Linked DNA regions of Canis lupus familiaris. The protein of the gene in region 2 purifies or fractionates together with the protein of the main gene of each other region. This does not show direct contact. Links are inferred from orthologs where the notes say so. Each region holds a gene or a part of one and is shown on either strand. Other genes may lie near its edges.

What was found.
Region 1: the proteins of MAPK1 (region 2) and DUSP9 purify together in Homo sapiens (affinity purification with mass spectrometry; 5 studies listed by BioGRID and IntAct, with this or other methods). This does not show direct contact. The link is inferred for Canis lupus familiaris from reciprocal best matches to the Homo sapiens genes MAPK1 and DUSP9.
Region 3: the proteins of MAPK1 (region 2) and ERF purify together in Homo sapiens (co-immunoprecipitation; 3 studies listed by BioGRID and IntAct, with this or other methods). This does not show direct contact. The link is inferred for Canis lupus familiaris from reciprocal best matches to the Homo sapiens genes MAPK1 and ERF.
Region 4: the proteins of MAPK1 (region 2) and HMMR purify together in Homo sapiens (affinity purification with mass spectrometry; 4 studies listed by BioGRID and IntAct, with this or other methods). This does not show direct contact. The link is inferred for Canis lupus familiaris from reciprocal best matches to the Homo sapiens genes MAPK1 and HMMR.
Region 5: the proteins of MAPK1 (region 2) and STAT3 purify together in Homo sapiens (affinity purification with western blotting; 3 studies listed by BioGRID and IntAct, with this or other methods). This does not show direct contact. The link is inferred for Canis lupus familiaris from reciprocal best matches to the Homo sapiens genes MAPK1 and STAT3.

What each region holds. Positions count from the first base shown.
Region 1 is NC_049260.1:122,651,277-122,655,421, forward strand, and holds the start of DUSP9 (dual specificity protein phosphatase 9), read left to right. Parts: upstream 1-1,335; 5' UTR 1,336-1,490; intron 1,491-2,312; 5' UTR 2,313-2,449; intron 2,450-2,745; exon of another isoform or gene 2,746-3,013; intron 3,014-4,046; exon of another isoform or gene 4,047-4,145. UniProt on the Homo sapiens protein: Inactivates MAP kinases. Has a specificity for the ERK family.
Region 2 is NC_049247.1:31,299,820-31,304,056, reverse strand, and holds the start of MAPK1 (mitogen-activated protein kinase 1), read left to right. Parts: upstream 1-1,430; 5' UTR 1,431-1,614; coding exon 1,615-1,733; intron 1,734-4,237. UniProt on the Homo sapiens protein: Serine/threonine kinase which acts as an essential component of the MAP kinase signal transduction pathway. MAPK1/ERK2 and MAPK3/ERK1 are the 2 MAPKs which play an important role in the MAPK/ERK cascade.
Region 3 is NC_049222.1:112,849,621-112,852,147, forward strand, and holds part of ERF (ETS domain-containing transcription factor ERF), read left to right. Parts: intron 1-1,562; coding exon 1,563-1,797; intron 1,798-2,186; coding exon 2,187-2,302; intron 2,303-2,404; coding exon 2,405-2,527. UniProt on the Homo sapiens protein: Potent transcriptional repressor that binds to the H1 element of the Ets2 promoter. May regulate other genes involved in cellular proliferation.
Region 4 is NC_049225.1:48,676,412-48,680,571, forward strand, and holds the start of HMMR (hyaluronan mediated motility receptor), read right to left. Parts: upstream 2,804-4,160; 5' UTR 2,646-2,803; coding exon 2,600-2,645; intron 1-2,599. Other genes in the region: NUDCD2 (nudC domain-containing protein 2), read left to right, coding at 3,192-3,485. UniProt on the Homo sapiens protein: Receptor for hyaluronic acid (HA). Involved in cell motility. When hyaluronan binds to HMMR, the phosphorylation of a number of proteins, including PTK2/FAK1 occurs.
Region 5 is NC_049230.1:20,479,934-20,483,446, forward strand, and holds part of STAT3 (signal transducer and activator of transcription 3), read left to right. Parts: intron 1-408; coding exon 409-507; intron 508-606; coding exon 607-742; intron 743-1,542; coding exon 1,543-1,595; intron 1,596-1,811; coding exon 1,812-1,906; intron 1,907-2,025; coding exon 2,026-2,165; intron 2,166-2,665; coding exon 2,666-2,878; intron 2,879-3,513. UniProt on the Homo sapiens protein: Signal transducer and transcription activator that mediates cellular responses to interleukins, KITLG/SCF, LEP and other growth factors. Once activated, recruits coactivators, such as NCOA1 or MED1, to the promoter region of the target gene.

The DNA.
Region 1 (4,145 bases), on a different chromosome or scaffold from region 2:
CTGGAAGGGGCAAAGGACAAGGCAGGTATGCCGGGCGCTGGCAGCAGGCCCCCCCTGGGGCTCACACATCGCGCCTCCAAAGTGCAGCAAAGCTCGTGGGGCCCTGGGAGGTCACGAGGCCCTCCCCTCTCCCCAGCTCTACAGGTGAGGAAACTGAGGCACCAGAGACCAAGCTGCCCCTCTCCTGTGGTTTCCAGGAAGTGACTCAGGGGAATTCGGCCCAGCTGCAGGCAGGAGCCGGCCTCCCTTGGCTGCCCCCTCATCCATGGCGCTGCTGGCATCCCTGCTCTGCGCGCCTCCCTCCTGATGCCATCCCGGCCTGGCGTCGCCTCGCTCTGGGCTCCCTGAGCAGAGACGCCGGAGGCCTGCCAGCAGCTGGCCCACAGCAGCCCGCAGCCTCCTGCTGCTTCTCTATCCCGTGCCCCACGTGGGGGGGCAAGTCAGCTACCACTGACCTGGGAGCCCCCTGCGCCCCCTCCCTGCCTCCTCTCCCCCACCCCACCCCCCGCAGTGAGTGAGGCCCAGAACCCAGTGCGTCCTGCTGTTGACACTGGAGGGGGGCTTCCGAACCCACTCTGGTGCTGCCACTACATCGTGCTTGACCCCAGGAAGCCACTGCTTCAGTGTCCCTAGCTCTCCGGGGCAGGGGGGGCAGTCCCCTCTGACTCCCGGACTGGTGTGGGCACAAAATGAGGTCCTTGGTGGAGATGCTCGGGGCCTCGGCTGCGGAGGACAGCGAAGTGGGCCGCCACAGTGCCCCCTCTCGGGCCCTCCCCCAATGCCCTGGCTCCACCCCTTCCAGGCACTGAGGCTCAAACGCTATTATTATTAGCCAGAATCTGATACAGGAGAATGGGAGAAGCCAGTGCAGACGGACCTGGGACTGGGGGGGGGGGGGGCAGCACTGTCAGATGGACCCTGTGTGGCAGTAGGCGGTGGCCCTGGGGGCCAAGCTGTGCCCGGTCCTCCACGGGCCCCTTGGCTGCCCTCCCGCGTGGACTCTTGGGTGCCACCCTCCCCCAGCCCAGGTCCCGCCGGGTCAGGTGTCCCCCCACTCCTGCGCCCGAGGCCCGGGCCGGGGCCGCGCGAGCATCCCTCAGGGGGCCGGGGCGGGCGGGGCGGCCAGTCTCGCAGGCGGGAGGAGGGCGGCCCGGGGCGGGGAAGGTGCAGGCCGCGCTCCCTCCGCGCTCGCTCCGCGCTCCCTCCCCGCGCGCCGCCGGCGACATCGCCCCTCCTGGGCAGGGGGCGGAGAAGACGGCGACGGGAGGGGAGGAGGCGGCGGCGGAGGCGGGCTTTGGAGTTTCCCTCCGCAGCGGCGGCGGCGGCGGCCCCTCGGCTCCAGGCGAGGCCGCCGCCTGAGGCTCCGGTGGCGCTCGGTGGCAGCGGCGGTGGCGCTTCCCGCCGCCCGGGCTTCGGAAACTTCCCGGCCGCGACGCGCGGAGCCGGCGCAGGAAGCCGAGCGGATCCGGGGTGAGCGGAGGTGAGCGGAGGTGAGCGGAGCACGCGGCTCCCCGGCGCCCACCCACCCCACCCCCACCCCGCCCGGCCGCCCCCTCCGACGTGAGCGCCTCCACCCTGCACCCCAAAGTCTTGCCAGCGCGCACCCCACGGGGCCGACGCACGCGCCCCTGCGAGCCCCACTCGATCCTGCCCCCTCACACCCCCCGCATCCCGCCCGTGCACCTCCCTGTCCTCGGCCACGCACATCCCCTGCCACTTGCACGCGCGCGCACAAACCGCGCACCGGGGACCTAGTCCTGCAGCGAACGCAGCAGCAGCCCCTGACCCACCGCCCGGCACTGCCCCCAACTCAGGCGAGCACCCATCCCAGACCCTGCCATGCCTCAGTACACACCCAGGCGCGTGCGCGCGCGCACACACACGCGATACATCCCTGCCATAGCTGCACTAACATAGCTCCCCTCGCCGTGCCACCACCATCTCCAACAACCCATATGCTCATTACAGACACCCCACCCACGTTCCCAGCCCAGAGACACTGCGATCCACCTACCCCCGAGTGAAGACCCAAAACTAACTCATGCCCCAGCAGCCGACACTCCCCGCCGCCGCAGCCAGGCCCATTCCCCAGGCGCACACCTCCTGCCTCCCCAGCGTGCACACTCGTACGCCCCAACACGTATGCACACCTGCTGGATTAACCCTCTCTGGCACCCTGCCCCAACCCCGTGGCAAATAGCCCCCAGCACCCCCCCCCCACCCAGCACATGCCCGAGTCCCTCCCACCGCCACCCCCTGACACCTGGCACTCGGGCTCTAGAGGCTGCAGCATTTGGTGGCATCCCTGCCAGGTGCCTCTGGCTCGCCTTTGGCGCCAGCAGCTCGCGTCCTGAGGCCCCCTGGGTGCCAAGCTAAAGCGATCCTGAGTCTCCCCAGCGACTGGCTTGGCCTCTTCCCTAAGAGATAGAGAAGGCACTTGGGGTGCAAGGTACCGTACTTAGCTGTGGGGTGCGGGTGGGGGGAGGCGAGGCAGGGCGAGGTGGCCCAGCTGCGGCCAAACACACGCCGCGGGTGGCCGGGCACGCACGTAGTAGGTGGGTTGGGCGAGGACAGGAGTCTGCTGCAGTGTGTGCGCCTGCATGCGCGGTGAGCGGCGGGCTGTGTGTGCGTGTGCGTGGGGGTCTGTGGGGTGGGAAAATGCGCGTGAGCCTCCGGGAGAAGCAGCACCCGCCGGGGCTCCCTCATGCAACAATTGGTTTCATTCATTCATGACTTCTTTGTTAGCGAGCATTTCTTCTGGGAGCGCCGGCCAGGCCCTGCGCGGGGGGCTGGGGCAGCCTGGGGCCGCTCCGCCTTGGAGGAACTCCCAGTCCTGCGAGGAGCCCGACCGGGAAAGGCAGAAAGCATCCGCGGCGGAAAGTGGATCTGTGGACGAGGCGCCGGATCTGCCAGGGACGCTGGCGCTGGGACTTGTGCTCCCGGCCATGTGACTGGGCCGCCACAGCCGAAACCCTGCCCGCCGCTCGGCCCGGCGGGAACCGGGCGCTTCGGGGTGAGGGGTGGCGGGGGAGGGGGCGCCGCTCCCCGGGGCTCCGGGGCACCGGAGGGCGCACGCGGCGCGCGGGGTCTGCGGCCCCCCAGGGGCGCCGGCCGGGCTGGGTGGAGGCTGGGGGGGCGCCCGGGGGGGGGTGCTGGAGGGGCCGGCTCGGGGCCCACCCTGCGGCGAGCGCGCGGCCTGCGGGCCTGGGGAGCCGGCGCGGGGCGCGGCGGGGCGGGCCCACAGGGGTGCGGGTGCGGGCGGCCGGCGGGGGTCAGGGGGTGGGGGGCTTGGCTGCGCGCAGCCCTGCACTGCGGAGGTGGCAACAGGTTCCAGTTTGTCCTGCTGCTGGCGCAGCGGGCGCTGCTGGCGCCGGGCACCGACTACTCACTTGCGAGATTGGATACTGCGCCCCCCCCCCCCCGGGGCCGCTCCCTCCCGGTTGGTGGGCTTGCCAGCGGCGGGAGCAGGGTGCAGGGGAGCCCCTCCTCGGGCGTTGGGACCCGCAGGCTCGGTACAGCCCACTCGGGGGGACTTTCTTGGAGCCAAGCTTGCTCTCCCTTCAGGGGTGCGAAAGTTGCCCCCAACCCCACCCCACCTCGCCTCACCTCCACCATCTTCCCAGCCAGGCTCCCCCCCCCCCAGCCTTACAGGGAGCCCTCTCCAGAAAGCATGCCTGGGCACCTCAGGAACCCCCAAGCTGCAGCTCTTAGGCTTTGCAGCTTCAGGGAACTGAGGCCCAGAGCGAGAGGAAGGAGAGGACAGGAAGGCTGCCTGGAGGAGGGCACCTGGGGGAGGAGGAGGGGCCGCTGCAAAAGGAGCGGAATCTGACTAGGCTGTGGAGGAGGGAGGTCTGGGCTGGGGGCAGGGGGACACAGCGGGACTCCTCCCAGAGGCCAGGCCGTGGGCCGCAGCCCCACAGGAGCCCTGGGCTGGCAGCGCAAGAGGAGGGGGACCCTGGAGGCCCCTTGGAGGGCCTGGCTCCCCGTAACCTGCCCTCTCCCTAGTGTTACTTCTCCAGTTTTCTCTTCTTATTTCCGTGGCTCAGGAGAGGAGTCTTCATCCGCGGCCCTGAACCTGGTTATCGTAAACGTTGGCCTGCCCGCGGTTTTGCGTCCTCCGCGGCTTAGTTTCCCATCTGGTGGTG
Region 2 (4,237 bases):
GAGACATAGGCAGAGGGAGGAGAAGCAGGCTCTGTGCGGGACTCAATCCCCGGTCTCCAGGATCGCACCCTGAGCCAAAGGCAGCGGCTCCACCACTGAACCACCCAGACGTCCTGCTAGCAGGTTTTTAAATATTTGCTTATTCACCTCTGAGATTGACTAAACTTTGCTGACGTCTAGAAGTCCAGAGTTGAGGGCTTTCAAGATCACAGTGTTGGAGAACTGGGATGTAGGATCTTGCATCCTTACTTCCCCTCCAAAGATGGCCTGGGAAATGCTCAGAAGCAGTGGCTGTTAGCACTCCTGTCTCATTTGTCTTAGCTATTCCTGGTATTCACCTGCTTTAGGATTCTGATTTTAAATTTTCAACCTCTGGCGTTTGTGAGTACTTCAGGGCCTCGGTGTGTTTGTCTCATTTTCTCTAGATCTTAACGTTTTGGTTTTGGTGTTTCCATCTTTGCATTTGTTTTTTATGTCCTAAGATTGTCTACCTGTACTGACGTGGGTCTCAGTCTCTGACTCTGTCTTTCTCCACTAACCCCAACCCCTCAGTCGGCTTTGTATTTCTTCCTGGCACTTAAGATTTTATTCATTTATTCATGAGAGACACAGAGAGAGAGGCAGAGACACAGGCAAGAGAGAAGCAGGCTCCATGCAGGGAGCCCGGTGCGGGACTCGATCCCAGGACCCCGGGGTCACGCCCTGGGCCAAGGGCAGACGCTCAACCACCGAGCCATCCCGGGGTCCCACTACTTGAGTATTCTTTACCTCTCTTCCTTCCTGTCTCATCTACCCACCGGGTTATCTCCTCACTCTAGAATGTGGATGCCCAGGAACAATGCAGCTGCTCACCAAACACTGGTGGAAGGAAGGTGTCTGATTAGCGGATCCTGAGCCTCTCGCTGGAGGCTTTGTGTTTCACACTTTCTCAGTATGCAAATATCTTCCGTGGTCTCGGTCCTGCCTTTCATTTTCCTGGCCGCGTCTGGAGGCCTCGGTGTGTGCGTGGGCCACGGGGTCGCGCGGGCCCGCGGAGGTGTGCGGAGCGTCGGCATGCCGCACGCGCGGCCCCAGGTCGTGCCCCGGCCCAGTCAGCGCCCCGCTCCGGGGCTCGCCTCGCCCGGAAAGTTTCTCAGGCCCGCGGCCCCCATCCCCGTCCCGACGCCCTGCCGTCCTTCTGCGTCTCGGAGCCCGCATCCCGCGCCAACACCCCCGCGGGCGCACGTGACCAGGCAGGGCGGTGACTCCGCCGCCGCCGCCGCCGCAGTGCCCCGCCCCGACCTGCCGCTTCCGCCGGCCCGCGCAGCCCCGCCCCCAGGCGGCGGGGAACCAATCCGCGCGCACGCTCCTTGGCCCCGCCCCGGCGCCCTCCTCGGCGCGCGCCCCTCCCGCCGCCCGCCGGCCCGCCCGTCAGTCAGGCAGGCAGGCAGTCGGTCCGAGCGGCCGTAGTCTCTCCCGCGGTCCTGAGCGCTGCCCTCCTTGCTCCTTTCCGATCAGCGTCGGCAGCTGCACCCGCAGCGGCGCAGTCCCCCCGGGAGGCGCGGCGTGGGCCGAGCGGCGGCCGCGGAGCGTCGAGCCTTTCGCGGCGGCGGCGGCGGCGGCCCGGCAGCCAACATGGCGGCGGCGGCGGCGGCGGGCGCGGGCCCGGAGATGGTCCGCGGGCAGGTGTTCGACGTGGGGCCGCGCTACACCAACCTCTCCTACATCGGCGAGGGCGCCTACGGCATGGTGTGGTGAGTGTCGGCGCCTGTCCGCAGGCCGCGCCACGCCCGCCCACCCGCCGCCCGGAGACGCGGCGGACGCAGCCGCGGCCTCGTCTGCGTCCCGGCCTCCCGCGCCGCCGCGCCCCCAGCCCGTGGCTTCCGCGCGGAGTGGGCGCCGGGGGCCTCGGGCGGGGCCCGGGGGCCGCTGGAGGTTTGGGTGTTGCTCACTGCGCTTCGCGGGCCGGCCTCCGCTCGCCGAGGGGAGGGGCTCGGGGGGCGGAGGCCAGTGTCCGGGGACCCGGGGATCCGGGCGCGGCGCGGGTTTTAGAGCCGGGACCCCCGGGAGGGGAACGGAAGTGGTCCCCGGGCCCCCGCCCCCGGCCCCCATGATGCTAGCATCTTGGCCTTCCTCTTGACATCCCGACTGTAGAGCCAGGAATTCCATCGGATGCTCGTCGGTGGTGGTGTTGGCCGCGGTCTTGTGTGCAGAACCTGAAATAATCTTCTCCCCTCCCCGGTATTCCGCGAACGGCTTTCATTAAATATTTTCGGTCGTGCTAACGGTGCCCCGCGCAGGCTGTCCGTAAAAAGCATCAGTGGCACCGCTGTGGGTTGTGAAATATTTTAATCTTGAAGTTTTAAAATGGATTTTAATACCCACACTGTATGCGTTTCAAGAAGGATAAGCCTGCACCGCTCTCTTGGTTGATTTATTAGTCATTTGGAGTTGGGCTTAATTTCACTTTTTTCTTTACCCCTAGTGAACTCTCTTGGCGTAAATGTATTCACACGTTTTAGCAGAATTGTTGTGGACTTGAGCTGTTAATGATGTTTTAGTGGTCAGTATATGTGCAGCCTTAATGGAATTCTTGCAGGACTACGTGCAGCCTCCCTTATCTTGATCATATCCCTCAGAAACGTTCTTGGTTCTTTTTATTAGAATTAGCTGTATTATTTTGTGCTGATGAGGACTTACGGAAGCGTGGGCTCCCTTACACCTCTTTCTTGTGTGTTTTGAGTTGAATGAAGGAAGCAAACATATTTACGGAACACTTGGTGGCAGGTACTGTACTAGGTATATTATCTCATTTTATATGAACAGCCACCTTCGAGGTGGTGATATCCCTCTTTCAGGGGAGAAAATATTTCGAGGTGGAGCAAATTCTTCAAGTCCTACGTCTAGAAGAGACAGACTTGAGATGATAGACTGAGATCCTCTCTCATTTGCTGGAGCTCTTTCAGTTATATTTTGTCTTTAAATAGTGTTATTAGTAGCTTTAGAGTTTGGTATATTTTACTGTTGTAAGCAAATCTGTTTTAAAAATGTATTCAAATTTAAGTGATTGTGATTTTAGAAATGCCATAAAGGGCCTGTTTTAACAAGTATTTTAGACTAATTAAATTTTAAAAAGACTAATTGAATCTTGACTATTTTCATTCTCTTGAGGAGCAAAATGCTTCACATATACAACTGTGAAAATTAACGTGAACTCAGGTTTAGGAGCCAAAAGAAGAATTAAACTAGGTCAGGTCTAAAAGAAATAAGGCCCTAGAAAGTACTGCCCACAGCATCACTTCTCTGTCATAACATCTGATTGCTATGACACCTGCTGGTAAGTAGGCATGTGTCATGAGAGGTTCAGAATTGTCCATCATGTCCCATGGCTCTTTTTGAAAATTTAGCATCTAACATATGGACTGAAAAAACTTTAGGTTTAGGATACTATTTTTTTTTATTTTTAAATTTTTAATTTTTTTTTTTTTTTTTAGGTTTAGGTTACTTTAATTGAAAGTTTTTTTTCCCCCCGATGAGATTATTACTAGTTTGAAGATAAGTAAGATAGGGTAACTATTTCTTTTTTTTTTTAATATTTTTATTTACTTATTTATGACAGTCACACAGAGAGAGAGAGAGAGAGAGGCAGAGACACAGGCAGAGGGAGAAGCAGGCTCCATGCACCGGGAGCCTGACGTGGGATTCGATCCCGGGTCTCCAGGATCGCGCCCTGGGCCAAAGGCAGGCGCCAAACCACTGCGCCACCCAGGGATCCCAGGGTAACTATTTCTGTCATTGCTGTAGACATATTTGACCTTCCAAGTCTTTATTAGGGAAGATGCCAAGTACTTTTACAGTAATCTTCCTTTCCTAAAATCCAAATACAAGTACAACTGGAATTAAAATCCTTGGTCCAGATTATAGTTTTTAATCCTTACCTTAGTAAGAATGTAATTTATGTTGCACATCATTAGTGTTTAATAAGTGTTGATTAAGAATGCTGGGTTTAGGGATCCCTGGGTGGCGCAGCGGTTTGGCACCTGCCTTTGGCCCAGGGCGCGATCCTGGAGACCCGGGATCGAATCCCACATCGGGCTCCCGGTGCATGGAGCCTGCTTCTTCCTCTGCCTGTGTCTCTGCCTCTCTCTCTCTCTCTCTGTGACTATCATAAATAAATAAAAATTAAAAAAAAAAAAAAGAATGCTGGGTTTATGGAGGGCTTCTTGAATGAAATGTTAATATTTATTTATTTTAAAAA
Region 3 (2,527 bases), on a different chromosome or scaffold from region 2:
CTGGATTCCCGAGAGAGGGATGGGGCTATGGATGCTGGGATCTATGGAAGGCATTGTCAGGGGCTGTCACTTCTGAATGGAGCAGGGGCTGCTGGTGTAGGACTCTGGGACTGTAACCAGCTGGAGGTCGTATCCTTGGAGCCCCGAGGCGCTGGTTTGAGGCTAGGATTTCTGAATGGGGCTGTGACTAGTGGGGAATGCTGGCCATTCCATCCTACCCAAGGCTGGAGCTCAGGAAGCTGGTTCACTGTAGGGGATAGAGTCAGCTTTGGATTTAGAAGGGGTAGTGCCTGTGGGAGTAGGAACTGCTGAATCCCTGTGTCCCCAAGGGGAAGTATCCTCTGTTGGGAGTCCAGGCTGCGGTGGAGTCTTTGAGGGAGGCTCAGCATTGCCCCAGGCCTGGTTGGTACCTGCTTCAGTTGGGGCTTGAGGCAGGCCAGAGGCTCACTCCAGCAGCCTGACTGGGACTTGGGACCCCGCCCATCCTTTGCTGTCCACCTTGGCCTTCTCCCTCTGGTGGCATCAGGGCCCCTATCCTGCCTCCCCCTCCTTCTCTTCCTCCCCTTCCCTCCTCCCACCCCTCCATTACCGGCTGCCTAGTGCTGAATTATTGATGGCCCCTGATTACCCGGGGGTTTGGGAAATGACAACCGCAGCCCCCCCACCGTCCCCCCCCCCCAGGCTGCCCACCCCCTCCAGGGACCAGCCAGCCCACCACCAACCTCTACCCAAGGTTAATGCTGGGGGCGGGTAGGCAGGTGGGCAGGGAAGAAGCTTGAGGATGAGAAGGCGGAAGGGGGAACAGGCTGCAGCATTGCCTGCTCAGTCTCCAGGCCTGGGCTGGGGCGTTCCAGCCAGGTTGTGTCCATGCGCCTGGGTCCGGGGAGGGCAGTCAGCACAGAGGGTCTAGGGCTTGTTGGGGGGGGGCTCTCTCAGACAGTCTGGGTTTCACTCTCCAGGGAAGACAGAAGCCTCTGTGTGTGCAAGCGCTGACCTCATCGTCAACCAACCACCCCACCCCTCCTGGTCCTTTTAAGAAAAAAAAAAAAAATCATCGGGTCCTGGGGTGGGAGTCGGGCTCTGGTAGGTTTTGGGAGGGGAGACAGTGTTATGTTCCCAGAAGGGGACTGGAGCTGTGGGGTGAGTTGGGGGAGGGGTATAACTGGCCCTGAATGGGAATTGGGGGGGTCGGGGGGGATCGCCCCAACCCGGCTGGCCACGTGTGCCCCTTCCTGCCCCTCCCCCACTGGCAGCCCTGCCCGCCGGCCTGGCTTGGTGCCTGGCCCCCTGGCACTGGCCCCGGGACCCGCCGCCGACGGTTTCCTGTTTCTCCCGTGTCGCTGGAGCAGGCTCCAGCTTCCCTCCCCCCCCAGCTCCCGTCTAGCCCCCTCACACACAGACACACACTGTCTCTCCCTAACTCAGGTCCTGACTTGGCAGAGGGGAGACGGATTTCCCCACGTGGAGGGCGGGGTAGGAGGGTGGACCCTGGGAGGGGACCTGAAGCCTTGGACTTGGCATCCTGACCCGGGGCCACTCCCCTGCCTCCTGTCTGTCCCCAGGGTTTGCCTTCCCGGATTGGGCCTACAAGCCGGAGTCGTCCCCTGGCTCGAGGCAGATCCAGCTGTGGCACTTTATCCTGGAGCTGCTGCGGAAAGAGGAGTACCAGGGTGTCATCGCCTGGCAGGGGGACTACGGGGAATTCGTCATCAAGGACCCTGACGAAGTGGCTCGGCTCTGGGGTGTCCGCAAGTGCAAGCCCCAGATGAATTATGACAAGCTGAGCCGGGCCCTGCGGTGAGGAGGGGCAGAAGCCCCTGGGCAGAGTGGATGGCCCCCACTGGCTGGGGAGCCCCCACTGGCTGGGGAGCGTATAACCCACGGGAATAGGCTTCGGGTTTGATCCTTTGCCAGCTCGGAGCGGTGAGACCACGGGCAAGTCCTGATCCTCCTTGGAGTGCTTCTGTCACATAGAAGTGTCCTGAGGAGAGACTACAGTCTGGGTGTGGCCTCTAGTCTTGGCCCCAGACCTGAGGGGAGAGCTGTTTCTCCTGGGTCCTTGGCTTCTTGCGTGTGACCCAGGTTTCTTGGTCCTCCTTGGTGAGCGACACCCAACTTGCGTCGAGTAAGGGTCTAGACTGGGGTCCCTGCATGACTGACGGTCCAATGTGTTTCTACGCCCACAGCTATTATTACAACAAACGCATTCTGCACAAGACCAAGGGGAAACGGTTCACCTACAAGTTCAACTTCAACAAACTGGTGCTGGTTAATTACCCTTTCATCGATGTGGGGTTGGCTGGTGAGTAGTTGGGCTGGGGGTTTGGCCTCAGAGGGAGGAGAGGATGGGCCTGTGTCCAGGCTGGACCGCGGACCTTGACGCCACGTCTCCCCTCTCCTGCAGGGGGCGCAGTGCCCCAGAGTGCCCCTCCAGTGCCATCGGGTGGCAGCCACTTCCGCTTCCCTCCCTCAACGCCCTCTGAGGTGCTGTCCCCCACCGAGGACCCCCGCTCCCCACCGGCCTGCT
Region 4 (4,160 bases), on a different chromosome or scaffold from region 2:
CACCAGTTTAGACTTGTCAGAGTGGCCAGAAAATAAAATGATGTTGAATTCTTATGTTCTGGTTCATGACTATGTGTACACTCTGAAAAGGAAATATGGGCAAGCAAAAGATGGGATGGTGGACAGTGACTGAGCAGCATCATGAGTTGAGAACAATTAAAACCATACTTAACAAAAACTTCCCTAAACAATCAAACTTGATTGTTAGATTTAGGATTTAGATTCAAGAACTAGGTAGAAATCCAGCCTGTATTAATCTATTAACTCTTTGTGAGAGTGTAGTTAGTACATGTTATTTTCATGCTCCAGATCTTTTCCTTACGAACACTTAAATGTACTATATCACACATACATATGACTTGTTAGAAATCTGGGGAGACGGAACATCAGAAGAATGGAATGAGATGTCCTGGGAGTTATCGCAAGTTTTCTGCAACTTCTTTCTTGATCAACAATGACTGGTAGCTAACAGGTAGTTAATAATTTTAAACAAACAAAACAGTCTATGCATTTCATTAAACGCTTCAAACTTTTGGATCTTTTTAAAATAGTTTTTTAAGGATTTTATTTATTTGAGAGATAGACTGAGCGAGAGCACAAGCAGAATGGAGGTGCAGAGGGAGAAGCAGACTGCTTACTTAGCAGGTAGCCTAATGCGGGGTTTGATCCCGGGACACCGAGGTCATGACCTGAGCTGAAGGCAGATGCTTAGTTGACTGAGCTACCTATCAGATTTCTTTATTTCCTATTTCTTCTACCCAGAATGGACAGTCCATCTTCCATTTTGCCTGACTAATTCTTACTCAGCCTTTTCCAGTTTTCTCTGAGTCCTCAAATTAGGTTGAAAACCTCTCTTTGTAGTAGCTTGTGAGTAGTGTTCTTATCAGAGAACCTGTCAGTTTTGTAATTATCCATATTCCATGTTAGACAAAACTGCTTGTGGTTAGGTCTCTCTAGATCATGTTCATAACCCCAGTATTTAGCTCAGGGTTGAGTTTGACAGTGCGGTGAAGAAAACATAGAAAGTCACTGGGAATGTGGGAATGGGGATAGAGTTTTATAATTCCTCAATCAGGGTTCAAATCCAGCTTTAAATGCTAACCAATAGACATTACTATGTGCCAAGTACTTTTTAGTCAGAAGATGGTAAGAACATTATACTCTCTCCTTTTCTAATCTAGCTTTAAGACCCCTGGCAATTTATTTTTATTTGAGGCTAATTTTCCTTATGAAACAGAAATTAAAAAAAGTATCCACCTCATAGCTGTTGGGATTACTGGAGTAATAGGAGAAATCACTACAGTGTCACTCGAGCATCAAATAAAGTAATAATTATTACTTCTGAAATTGTGAGTTGGTAAAGTCAGTTTAATCTACTATAAAGAAAACAGAATTCTCCTTAAAAGACATACTGCTGAGAGAATTTAGAGAAGATTCTTTGAATATCCAGGAAACAGTATATTCCCGATCTTTCAATTAAGAAAATAAGCTTGTAAAAAAAAAAAAAAAAAAAAAAAAGGAAGAAGCTTGTGCTGACCCATTTGCTCACTTGGCCTTCCTTTGTGAGCAGAGTGATTCTTATTTCTATTTGCATGTTGGCTGACAAGTTAAAGATGCCAACAAGTGCCTTTTATAAAGAGTATATTAAAATGAATAAATCATGGGCTTTGATGTTCAGCCCTACCAATTACTGGCTGCTCAGAAGTTACAAAACCCCTCTGTTTCCTCATATGTAAAACGAGGACAATATCAATCCTTTCTCACTTGGAAAGAGTTAACCAGGTAGAACAGAAAAGACCTTAGCACAGTCCCTGCATACAGTTTGCATCCACTGAATGATGAGTGTGCCTCACTAACCATATCTGCGTCTTCCTGGTTAGTGTGCTTATGCATCACAGCGACTAAGTTCACAGGATGGGTTCACGAAGGCCTGATTTTATGTCCCAGTTCTGCTAACTTGGTTGTGTAACACTGAGCAAATCTATGTCTCAATCTTTTTATCAATAAAATAATAATAGGATTACCTCTCAGGGATGTTGGGTAATTAAAAAAGAATAATCAATGTAAATACTTAATACGGTGATTGGGGTTCTACGTGTCATTACTTCATTATGTTTTCAGTAAGTATGCTACTACCATAATTTTACCCATAAATTGCCTTTACCAATTATCCTTCTTTTATTCCTGAATGGAATATCCAAAAGAAATTCACAAGTTCATACGAAAAACTTGGTCAATTTTTTTTTTTTTTTAATCAGTGGGGCCTTCCGGACTTGACCATCAAATAGCTACCAATAGTTTCCTTATCCCCACTTCCTTCTCTCTGCCTTAGTTTCCCCACAGCACTCGTTCATTGGCTGTGTTCTCCAGCTGAATGTAGTGAACTCGATGGGGCAGAGACTTCGCTTCATTCACTGCTCTACCCTTATCTGAATGGTGCTAGGGAAGTAAATGCTTAGTATAGATTCTAGGAAAATAATCAATTGAATGAGACCCATCGCAGCCCTAAAATCTCCGATTAGCCTCCGAGGAAGGGACTCGAGAGCGGCAAGGTGCGTGACAACATATCCCGACCCCCAACTCCTTTCCCCGTACGCACCGGAAGGGTCATTGAATCGTTTCAGGGGCGCCTTAGGAAAAGACATGTTGATGACCAGCTCCACAAACCGAAGGTCACTAGCTCTCCTCCGCAACTCCTGGCTGCTTATTTCGGCCTAATCGCTCCAAATTCAAACCTCCCGGCTTACCCACGGCCCACCTCTAACGTCAGCAGATTTGAAAACCAAAGTTTTGGGCGCACCAATCCAGGACGCGAACGACTAAAGAGCATGCGCACCTGGCCTGGTCGCATCCAATCAGGGCTCCTGTGAGTTTAGGTCACCAGCCAATAGGAGACTATTATTGCCCAACCCGTGTCCAATCGTTCCTGGCGTTACTCAATTGTAACTTACACGCTCGCCTCCTTTGCGCAAGCGCATTTCACGTCTGAGAAGTTGGCAGGCCCGCTTCTGGCGTCATAAAGGCGGCAGGGCAGTGAGTTCTAGTTTCGCTAGTTCCAACTTTCTCCCACCGTCCCTTGGGTGTCAGCTTCCCCGGATTTCGGTTCTTTCAACCTGGGCACTGCCAGCGTCGTAAACGGCCACTGGAAAGGAGAAAGGAGCTCGCGGAGACCTCGGCTGACGTCCCTGCGCATGTGCAGTGACCTGAGCGGAGAGTCGGGGCGTGGCCTGAGCGCGGGGAGCTCGCGCGTGCGCTCGTCTCGCTCCGTGCGGCTGCAGCTGGAAGGCTCCCGGAGTATGTCGGCCCCGTTTGAGGAGCGCAGTGGGGTGGTTCCGTGCGGGACGCCGTGGGGCCAGTGGTACCAGACCTTGGAGGAGGTGTTTATTGAAGTTCAGGTGCCGCCTGGCACTCGCGCCCAGGACATCCAGTGCGGCCTGCAGAGCCGGCATGTGGCGCTGGCCGTGGGTGGTCGCGAGATCCTCAAGGTAGCGGCAGGTCGGGGCTTGCGCTCACTTCCCTCCCGGCCTCTAAGCCCCCGAGTCCGCAGGCTCATGGTTTCCACGGAAGGACTGCTGGAAGGCCGAGTGAATGGCTCTTTGAGCCGAAAGAGCGATAGATAGCACTGGCCTGGTTTGGGTCTGGTCCGTGTCCCCACCCAAGGCTAGTCCCGAGTTGACGGAGAGATGTGAGGAGCCCGGTGTCCTGGCTTTCTCTCTAAACCGAAGAAGTTGCTGCTTTTGTTCCCCTGCGGGTCTTCACCTAGATGTTTAAAGGGACCAATACTCGTTGTACATATATTTTCTTCGAGGCGCTGATTTTAAGTGCTGAGAGGTCAGGGATGACCAAGACCGAAGTTCCCTGCGCTCAGGTGATGCTCTTGCAGGGAGGCATACTAAAGCGAAGTTAGTAAATGCTTAAGCAGTTAGGGGACAGTAGAGGACACAGTACAGGGTAAGGATATCGGGAGGAGGATTCAGAGGTGGCGTCAGGTGATTTATTTTTTTTTTTTTCCACAAAACTAGAAACATTCTGCCTGTTTGTGGAGCGGTTAAGCAGGTAGTCGAGAGGCGTTTTGTGCCCATCATGCCCGTCGGATCCTTGGTAAACTTTATAGGTAAATTCAGTGACGTGCAAGTTAGATTTCTTTTCCGGATCCGATG
Region 5 (3,513 bases), on a different chromosome or scaffold from region 2:
CAGGAAACCATGGCATTTGCATTCTGTTTTACCAACTTTCTTGATTTTAAGTTCAAGATATACGCAAAGAAAGCTTTGTCTTTGACTACTGGGAGCTCTCTGTTTAATGGGTAAATGTAGCTTCAGTTCTCAGAGAATGCCTTCCAGGTTTTCTAAATGTGGAATCTGTGGACTGTGAGTCTGACTTTGAGCAAGTCTGATTTTCAAGTTCCTGATTATGTCCTGTGACCCATGTTTGGCATTCTTTCCACTCTTGGTGTTGAGCTGACTCAGCCACACTCCTCCCCAAAAGTTGACAGTAGGTGTGGTTCATGGCACATCCTTTTATTCCCAAACGTGCAGTTATGGCTAAAGAGATGTTCAAAACTGTGAGGGTCCTCCCCAATTCATTCTCCATTTTCTCCACAGACCCACTCCTTGCCAGTTGTGGTGATCTCGAATATCTGTCAGATGCCAAATGCCTGGGCATCAATCCTGTGGTACAACATGCTGACCAGCAACCCCAAGGTAGGTGCCCGTCCTCTGGAAACCATTGTTGTGGTCCCTCGTGTAGGTCATCAGGCGCCGCTGTCTCATCCCAATGAGCAAATATGTCATTTTGAACAGAACGTGAACTTTTTCACCAAGCCCCCGATTGGAACCTGGGATCAAGTGGCTGAGGTGCTGAGCTGGCAGTTCTCCTCCACCACAAAGCGAGGACTGAGCATCGAGCAGTTGACTACGCTGGCAGAGAAACTCTTAGGTTAGCATTTTCCCTCTTTTCCCTGCTGCCCTCCTCAGAGAAGGAATCTGGCCCGTGGGGCTATTCATTCAGGAAAATTTGCTGAGCAAGGCACTGTGCTGGGGTCAGAAAAACATGTGCTCCAGCAGTTTTGGGGGGCGAGTGGAAGGATGCAGAGGCAGCTTGCCTCATGGTCGTCATTTCTGAGGTAAGAGGCAGATTTCTTTTCTCTTGGTGGCTGGACTCCTCACCCCGTTCAGAGCACAGCTTCATCTAACCTTAGGAAGATATTTTTTAAGTGCATGTTAGAAGGTGGAGATGAAAGCTTGACATCCATGTCTGTTTCTTCAATAAACTGGAGAGGCTTGTTTTTTATGTTTTTCTCCTGAAAAAAATTTCATGCACTATTTTACATGCTACCTGGACTATAAGTAGCTTTATCCTGTGCTGTCCCCAAACTTGCCCCTCTAATTCTGTCAGCTTATTACTGTGTGCTGCTGGTCCCCTGTCCACCACACAAGACCAAGAAGAGGTGGTATGTGAGTAGCAGGGAGAGACTTGGTATGTCATCCACCACCTCTGCGAGGCTAAACAACCCCTCAGGTGATCAAATGATGATGGGGTTTTGTGAGGGTGTAGGTGTGTATACGCACGTATGTGCACATACATGCCCTCTACTGTAGGGACCTGCAAACACATGAAAACCGATGGTTGCTCGGCCCATTGTGGGACAGATGTGTGTGAATGTATGTTGTGTTACAATCCTAAGATCTTGATTCAAAGCTGAAAATTACACTGTTTTATTTGTTCTTTTCCTTCAGGACCTGGTGTGAACTACTCAGGGTGTCAGATTACGTGGGCTAAATTTTGCAAAGTAAGCTATTTTATTAAATCCTTATGGATTGGGAGTGGGAGTGAATGCACACCTGTGAGGTTGTCCTGGATGGCACTGGGCTTGAAGACTCATGGTCTGGAGGCCAGTAGGACCTACTTGAGGGGAGATGGGCCTGGGGATTTTGGTGGCATGGTGCCCCTGGGAAGGAAAAGACTGGAAGGGTAGACTTGGCTTTCCCATTATTCTTTTCTTTAGGAAAACATGGCTGGCAAAGGCTTCTCCTTCTGGGTTTGGCTAGACAATATCATTGACCTCGTGAAAAAGTATATCCTGGCTCTTTGGAATGAAGGGTAGGTTGAAACTTTTGTGTCTGGTGGAGTGCACATGTGTAACAAGTCACTTGCTCCCTCAGCAGGCTGGTGGTGGGGACCCTATCAGCTCACATCTGGTTGCTCTTCTTTGGCTCCAGATACATAATGGGTTTTATCAGTAAGGAGCGGGAGCGGGCCATCCTGAGCACAAAGCCCCCAGGCACCTTCCTGCTACGGTTCAGTGAAAGCAGCAAAGAAGGAGGTGTCACCTTCACTTGGGTGGAGAAGGACATCAGCGGTAAGTTTGACTCTCACCCACCCCACCTAGTGGCAGTTGCCTCCCCGCCTTGGTTACTACTAGTTTCAAGCACCTACTGCCCCCTAGTGGGCAGAGATGGCTTCACACTCCCCTGTCATGGGCTTGTAAAATACTTCAGTGACTTCTTTTCTCCAAATTCTTTCAACTGGAGGATTGTTTGCAAGTTTTGTTTTGTTTGCTCCAGGGTCTAATATTTGCCTAGCAGTTTAAATCTCATTCTTCATCTCCTTGCTTACCTACCCTGTTAATATATCTCACACGAGTAGTTTTCAGGTATATTGCCTACGACCCAACTGGGTAGTCTCTCCAGAAGCCAACTGAACATTTCCATAGTGCCAGGTTATTGAACAGGATATTCAGGGCTCCGGAGCTAGGTTGGCATAAGTCTTTCCCTTTCGAGGAAAAATAAATCAGGTTGTTTTCTCTGAGATTACCTGGCCATAGGTTCCCTTATCTTCCCTTACAATATCCCATGACAGGTAAGACCCAGATCCAGTCGGTGGAACCATATACCAAGCAACAGCTGAACAACATGTCGTTTGCTGAAATCATCATGGGCTATAAGATCATGGATGCTACCAACATCCTGGTGTCTCCACTGGTCTATCTCTACCCCGACATTCCTAAGGAAGAGGCATTTGGAAAGTACTGTCGACCAGAGAGCCAGGAACATCCTGAAGCCGACCCAGGTAGTTGTTGATTTTCCGAGGCTGGCATTTAATTCTGGGAAAAGTGGGAAATTGCAGGATCCCAGGCGTACAAACAGGTAAATGCCCAAAGAGTCTGGTGATCTTTATTCCTCTTTGTGGGAAAGAACTTTGTAATGAGTGCTTTTTTGGGGTGGCTGATGGGGTTGGAGAGAGGAGAGGAGTCAGAGTCACTTGTCTCTGCCCCACAGGGAACCTGCCAGACTAAAGGGAGAAATAAGCACATACACACCCAAACATCTAAATTGCCACCAAGAAAGAGTGAGAGTGAGGACAGGACTCTTTAGTAACAGGATGTCCAGCCAGCACCACACTTCTTACACGGTAGCTGCTGGAAGGTTTGCGACCAGACTTGAGTCTAGTGTATTTCCTTTTCCCCATCACTGAACAATGTGAGCAGTGTCGAGTGGGATGGAGAAAAGCTTTCTGGAGGAAATGAGTGTTAGCAGCACTGAAACGTGGTTTACGGTTTATAAGCAGAGGCAGTGGGGGAGTGGTGATTGAAGGGGAACCTATAACCGGTGGGAGGGCGCAGGATGGGATGCAGAGTGATTGAAATAAGTGGTTGTGTAATGTGCAAGAGCACAGGTGTTTCTGTAAGTCTGTAGACATTGTTCCAC